Kluyveromyces lactis: one gene and its partners. The main gene of each other region encodes a partner of the protein of the gene in region 3 in a complex. Links are inferred from orthologs where the notes say so. Each region holds a gene or a part of one and is shown on either strand. Other genes may lie near its edges.

Evidence for each region.
Region 1: RPP1B (region 3) and RPP0 share a complex: the UniProt entries of both Saccharomyces cerevisiae proteins name them as parts of the large ribosomal subunit. The link is inferred for Kluyveromyces lactis from reciprocal best matches to the Saccharomyces cerevisiae genes RPP1B and RPP0.
Region 2: RPP1B (region 3) and RPL38 share a complex: the UniProt entries of both Saccharomyces cerevisiae proteins name them as parts of the large ribosomal subunit. The link is inferred for Kluyveromyces lactis from reciprocal best matches to the Saccharomyces cerevisiae genes RPP1B and RPL38.

What each region holds. Positions count from the first base shown.
Region 1 is NC_006038.1:532,397-535,341, reverse strand, and holds RPP0 (60S ribosomal protein uL10), read left to right. Parts: upstream 1-1,335; coding exon 1,336-2,271; downstream 2,272-2,945. Other genes in the region: ribonuclease P/MRP protein subunit POP6, read right to left, coding at 202-663; KLLA0_B05885g (uncharacterized protein), read left to right, coding at 2,604-2,945. UniProt on the Saccharomyces cerevisiae protein: Component of the ribosome, a large ribonucleoprotein complex responsible for the synthesis of proteins in the cell.
Region 2 is NC_006039.1:1,609,202-1,611,364, forward strand, and holds RPL38 (60S ribosomal protein eL38), read left to right. Parts: upstream 1-1,340; coding exon 1,341-1,577; downstream 1,578-2,163. Other genes in the region: transcription factor IIF subunit TFG2, read left to right, coding at 1-687. UniProt on the Saccharomyces cerevisiae protein: Component of the ribosome, a large ribonucleoprotein complex responsible for the synthesis of proteins in the cell.
Region 3 is NC_006042.1:543,664-545,838, forward strand, and holds RPP1B (ribosomal protein P1 beta), read left to right. Parts: upstream 1-1,333; coding exon 1,334-1,648; downstream 1,649-2,175. UniProt on the Saccharomyces cerevisiae protein: Component of the ribosome, a large ribonucleoprotein complex responsible for the synthesis of proteins in the cell.

The DNA of each region.
Region 1 (2,945 bases), on a different chromosome or scaffold from region 3:
CTTGCTTGCCTAATACAGATGAAATATAGGTCGAACATGGCAATTGCGATATTGTAGCTATTTACCAAATAAATTGGGTACGATATTTTTTTTGACGATCGGAATTTGTTCACTGTCCGCCCTGACGGATCACAAAGGTATATACAATATGTTTTGACTGGAAGCGTTATCAGTATACTTTAAATTGTGTCAACGTTGAAGTTACGATTGTTTTGTGAATTTATTAAGGCTTTTGACTTCTTGTTTAGTGAATAAGGTAATAAGTATAGGCAAGTTGACTTTTCTATCCAATAGTTCATTACGTCCAGCCTTGATTTCAATAAACGAGTCTAGTTTATTAAATTGATGTAGTGCTTTCCCGTTTTCAGTAGTCTTGAAGATCTCTATTATCGAAAGTGCTTTTTGTACATGAACTCCATAAGCAACAAGTACGAATGTATCAGCAGTGATAGCTGCGAGTTGATCCACACATTGTTTAATATTGGAGTTTTTACTGTACGAAATAATTGCTCCTACAGATGTCTCAGACGCATTGTTCCAACCTGCACTTCGCAGGGTTTCTGGGATGATTTTTTCTTTGATGTAGGTCGAACATTCTACGTAGGTGGAAGGATCTATGCCTTCTACTTCAATTTCGTTATATTTTAGTTTGGAAGAAGCCATCGTTGTTGCTTTGTAGCTAATTACTCAACTAAGGCGAGTTTCTCATCGATTGAATTATCAATACTCAATGCTACGATAACTTGGGAAGTTATTGTAGATTTCTTTTCGACGAGATGGGATGAGCATTGATACGATGAAAGCTATTCTGCGGACTGTTTACACCCTTACATATGTAAAAAATGTCAACACAACACCCATGCACCTTGATAAAACTCCAAAGGAATTAATTTCCTCTTTGACTAGTGGTCACGTGCATTTAAACAATGCAAACCCGTTGTATTAAGCAATACAACGTTAAAGTATTAACAAGTCCGGCATATGGATTGAATCCTCAGCACCAGATGGTTTTCAAGCGTAGAGGGTACATCCTGATACCATTCACTCAAGCTCCTTCTTTTTTATAATATACCATATGAGTTACACCTATTTCTGTATGATTAACGGATGCTTGTTTGTTTTTCATGTGGGCCTTAATTTGGAAATTGGAAAATCTCAAATTTTTCATCGCTGAGGGAAACCAAACTTGAAAAATATTGAATTTTATGATAAAACGTCCTTTACATATGAATATACATAATTGGATGTTAAGTACTTGATTAGATTTGTAGTTTGTATATAGTTTACAAGAACCACAGGTACTACCTTAAACATCCTATCACTAAAAAAGTCGAAATGGGGGGCGTCCGTGAAAAGAAAGCTGAATACTTTGCCAAGCTAAGAGAATACTTGGAAGAATACAAGTCTGTCTTCGTTGTTGGTGTTGACAATGTGTCTTCCCAACAAATGCACGAAGTCAGAAAGAACTTGAGAGGCAGAGCTGTTGTCTTGATGGGTAAGAACACCATGGTCAGAAGAGCTGTCAGAGGTTTCATCTCTGACTTCCCAGACTACGAAAAGTTGTTGCCTTTCGTCAAGGGTAACGTTGGTTTCATCTTCACCAACGATTCCTTGCAAGATATCAAGGAAGTCATCATCGCCAACAAGGTTGCCGCTCCAGCCAGAGCTGGTGCTGTTGCCCCAGAAGATATCTGGGTTCTCGCCGTCAACACCGGTATGGAACCAGGTAAGACTTCTTTCTTCCAAGCTTTGGGTGTTCCAACCAAGATTGCCAGAGGTACCATTGAAATTGTCTCTGACGTTAAGGTCGTTGACGCTGGTAAGAGAGTCGGTGCTTCTGAAGCTTCTTTGTTGAACTTGTTGAACATTTCTCCATTCACCTACGGTTTGACCGTCGTTCAAGTTTACGACAACGGTCAAGTCTTCCCAGCTTCCATCTTGGATATCACTGACGATGAATTGATCTCTCACTTCATCTCTGCTGTCAACACCATTGCTTGTGTTTCCTTGGCTGCTGGTTACCCAACCTTGCCATCTGTCGGTCACTCTTTGATCAACAACTACAAGGACTTGTTGGCTGTCGCTATCGCTGCTGACTACATCTACCCAGAAATTGAAGAATTGAAGGACAGAATTGAGAACCCAGATGCTTACGCTTCTGCTGCCCCAGTTGCTGCTGCTTCCGGCTCTTCCGAAGCTGCTGCTGAAGAAGCTCCAGCTGAAGAAGAAGAAGAATCTGATGACGACATGGGTTTCGGTTTGTTCGATTAAACACCTTATAATTATGGAAACAATAACAATTAAATTTTAAATTCACATATCGGTTTCAGATGATCAATCTGTATCTATAAGTTTAGTTAGTCTTTATTAATTTCTATCTTAAGCGCACAAATCTTATCGCATCAAATTATCGTGTCTTCATGGCGACAATTTATTTGTTTTTTGCCTGTCTAAGCGGTCCGCTCCATAGTAGTGTAGGTCAGATTATTGCTAATATTTGAAGAAAAACTGACGTCGGACACAAACTAGATTACCGTTCACTAACAGTTTGGTCAAAGTTGATGGCATAGCTTAGCAACTAGCACACAGGCGGTCTGATTAAGATGTCTTTATCGGTGAGGAGTCAAAGTCAAGATAATAAAGTCCTCTCAGATCTGTCTGAGAAGAAGTCATTTTTCAAACCTTTCCAGCAAGATAAGGATCTTGATGATAATCTAGTTTCTTTCGACCATGAAAGAGAATTCGTACAAGATCCTACTATTGGATCTAGTATCAAATTGGATGGTTCAGATGTGATAAAGTTTTCAGTTCGTGTTGACGAATCTTTCAGACTAATTTACGATAAAAATAATAATGCTTTAAAAGATGGTTCCAACACTCAAAATAAAAGTGAAGAGGCAGACAGTGAGAATATAGATATCATCGAAGGGGAGTTTTACTGGAAA
Region 2 (2,163 bases), on a different chromosome or scaffold from region 3:
TACAACAAGAGAAGGTTTCAGCACCGTGTCATGACGGATAGGGACGGTAGAGATAGATACATCCCGTACGTGAAGACTATTCCGAAGAAAACTGCAGTGACGGGGAAAGTGTACCACGAATGTCAAGTGATGCCCTCGATAGACGATCCAAATTACCATACAATTGTGGAACATAGAAGACAAATCGTTAGAAACATCCACAAACCAACGGTTACGGTGCTTGACCAAACTCCTGGTGTCACTATGAGTAACGCCGGTATGTCGATGAGATCCGACACTTCCAAGTTCTTAAAAGTTGGAAAGGAAAAGAAGAACAACGCAAGGGCTATCCGTTTGCCAAAGAAGGAACTTTTGGATCTATTGTTCAAGTTGTTTGATGAATACGATTATTGGTCCTTGAAAGGTTTGAAGGAGAGAACAAGACAACCAGAAGCATATTTAAAGGAATCGCTAGATCAAGTTGCTATGCTTGTGAAAAAGGGTCCGTATGCCTTGAAATATACTTTAAAATCGGAATATAAAAAGTTGAAGGAAGCTGAAAGAGCTGCTACGCTTGGTGAATTGGCACAACACGCTGATCCAGAACAACAGCAGCAGATTCAAGACCAATTTGATCAACAACAACAACAGGAGAACGAGCAAGAGGAGGAAGACTTGGAAGACGTGGAAATGGAGGATGTGTTGTAGAACCCTTCAAACATAGTATATATATATATATATATATATATATATACACATAATCATGCCCCACCGGTTATCTAGTAAATGAATGGATATCTTATTCATGATGCTGGCATGTCTAGTCCTGTGATGTATTCTTGTGACCTGAACCAATAGTAGGATTAAAGAATTCAAATCACGTGATTAACAAAGGACTGTCCATTGTTAAAATAACACCCATACACTCCAAACACTGAAAAATAAAAACCCACACATCCGGATACAAAACGAGAAAATTCTCAATTGGGTAGTATAATACTCAAAGAAACCCAAAAAATCTCTAAAAGCCAACCTCCTGACACCCACACACCATCAACTAAACTTTTCACCAATCTCATCGACTGTGCTCATTGAGTATTGTGCAATTGGCAAGCCAGTAAACGTTTAGTTTCGAACAACTTTCGACAGTTTTAACGTTTTAGATTTTAACATTTGTCGTTAATAGTGGTGTTTTGTATATGTCCATTTAGTGTTTTTTTGATGTTTAGCGTTTTTTACATTGTATTATCGGTTCTTGTTTAGTATTCTTTATAACTTTTAATTACAGTTTATTAACTCTTTTGTCTTAATAGTTTCTGTGAATCTCCAAGCATCAACAACTAGGAAGTACATTAACAAAAATGGCTAAGGAAATCGCTGATATTAAGGAATTCTTGGAATTGATCAGAAGACAAGATGTCAACTCTGCTACCGTCAAGATCAACAAGAAGTTGAACAAGAACGGTAAGGCTTTCAGACAAACCAAGTTCAAGCTAAGAGGTTCCAGATACTTGTACACCTTGATTGTTAACGATGCTGGTAAGGCCAAGAAATTGTTGCAATCTTTGCCACCAACTTTCAACGTTAACAAGTTGTAAGGGTAGTCTAGAGAGACACTAATACTTTCTTTAATACCATATCAACTGTTTTTTTTGGAAATTCCACCAATCGTCTGTTTCAACCCATGGTGTGGGGTAAGTACTCTTATTGAATTGAATTTAAATTGAATTTGAATTGATTTAATTACCAGCACTTTGTACTGGCAATTTTTACCTGAGGAACGAACCATCCAGATTGAAATGAACAAACTCGTCAAATAAGTTATAATAAACGCATACTTTTTATCTGCATTCTTTCATTGATGAGACGATAAGATTACTACTCTAATGATGATAATACAGCTTGTATTAAGCGTCCAGTGGTAGGTTTTTTTTACCTGTGTTAATTGTCTTTGCGAGCTTTTAAAGTTTTATTTTGGGCTTCACAAGGAAAAATGACTGAGGTTATACACAGTATGAATTTTCCCTGGTATTATTAGTACAAGCTCTGTTATATCGTCATTATCACTGCATGATTATTATCTCATCTATTTTTTTTATTTGTTTTTGGTATATATGAGTATATAGGTGTGCTTTAAGCACGCTATTCGATACGAGTTGGAAACTCAGGGGACAGGCATACTTC
Region 3 (2,175 bases):
AAAATCCAAACCCAATTCATTAAACGCCCTTTTTCAAAGAAAAAAACCTTTAAAATATTCTACAATTCGATCAACTAAGCTGTCTGTTGATTAATGAGATCAACCCAATCGTAGTTAATGTTTTTTTCTACGCAGTCAAATTGAGAATTTTATTATTGACGAAATTATGAAAACCAAGAAAATGGATACAGATTTTTTTTTTATCTATCATGTCAGCTTAAAAACGCCCGTTGGTAAGCGCTCAAGGAAGAAGTGTTTACTTGTTCATCTTCGCCGTTTTACAGTTCTTTCTTATGGAAGCGTTGAGTATATGCGTATTGGCTCGCGTATGCGCTGACACCACACGTAAAGTTTTTGGTAATATTGAAAATGAGATTAAAAACAAAACTATAATCATGTAATTCAATTTTAATATATTAACATTCATTATACTATAATTAGAAATCAATTTCACTCAGGATTACACAATGGAATGAACAGTCAGTCCTAACCTTTCGTAGGTTGCTTCACAGTGATCCAAGGGAAACACTGAATTGAAGGAAAGATATTATTTACAGTAACTTAGTAGAAGTTACCCTTTCGTGGGGAAGTGAGTTCAGTCCTATTGAGATATCTAAAATTAGTAATCCGATATAGTGTAACGGCTATCACACCACGCTCTCACCGTGGAGACCCGGGTTCGACTCCCGGTATCGGAGAAAAAATTATCCTTTTTTTATTATCACTTTTGCATGTTATAATATGTAGCTCGGGACTGTTCATATGGTGCTGTCATGATTGTGTGTAAAACCCAGTCATCTCACTTTAAATTTCTCATTATAATATATTCTGTTTTTTCCATTAATGGAAATAAATCCCACTTAACACCCATACACTACACCCATATTGACAGTTCTGCCCTGAGATACGCATAAATTATATTGTATTTCTACCGAGCTTGACAACACTTTTTGGGGCCGGTGGTAGTTGAAACCCGTGCTATGGGATATTCTGACGATTGGCAACACGTAGCTGTTCCTGTTTTAAGTGTTTTAGTGTCTCTTACATCTATGGCGTTGTCTTGTACATCTTCTTCTGTGTAAACTTACCCTCCCTTGTTGTCGTTTTTGGATCAACAAAACTTCAAATCTTGTTCAGTTTTCCAGATTTTCTGAATTTTCACCGAATAATATTTTTCACTGGAAAACTAGCTAGATTTCAATAAGATATTGAACGTTTAATTATACAACACGTATTTATTGATAAGTTGTAGTTAGGTTGTTTGTTGAGGTTCAATTGCTTGTTGTTGCGATTTTGCTATAGATCCACATATACACATCATACCTAACTAGCAATGTCTGACGCTGTTATTTCTTACGCCTCTTTGATCTTGGCTGATGCCGGTTTGGATGTCACTGCCGACAACTTGTTGACTTTGACCAAGGCTGCCGGTGCCTCTATCGACAACGTGTGGGCTGAAACCTTCGCTAAGGCTTTGGAAGGTAAGGACATCAAGGAAATCTTGTCCGGTTTCCACGCCGCTGGTCCAGCTGCTCCAGCTGCTGGTGCCGGTGCTGCTTCTGGTGACTCTGAAGCTGCTGCTGAAGAAGCTCCAGAATCTGAAAAGGAAGAATCTGACGATGACATGGGTTTCGGTTTGTTCGATTAAACGTCAAAATATAAAAAACAAATAAAACAATTCAACACATTTTCTCAAGGAGCATTCCTCCCTCCCTCGAATTTCCTTTTAGCGTCATATTAATCTATTACTTACCACAGGTATCGTCATCATGAAGAAATATTAGAAACACATTGGCAAAAATACTGGCAGTTGGGACATACTACACTAATAAACAGAGCATATTTTGGTATCTCATCTACTATCTGTCGATACATCGAATATCGATTTTCTCGGAATTGGTACAGTTTTTTGGATATGTCATTTCATGTGTATATATAATTTGTATTCGTATTTCTTCTAGATATATATCATCTGTTTGGAATGGACCATATCAGACTTTGTGGAGTGTTTTTGATTCCTTAATATTTTTTGCGTTATAATATATATGAGATATGCCTGTGTACCTACATCTGTACAGAAATCCCCTTCTTTCGAATTGGACCCTGTGCGAACTTTACTGTGTAGAACTCTATGTTAAGCTTTCTTCCATTGTTAAATATACGTCTGCCGAATTG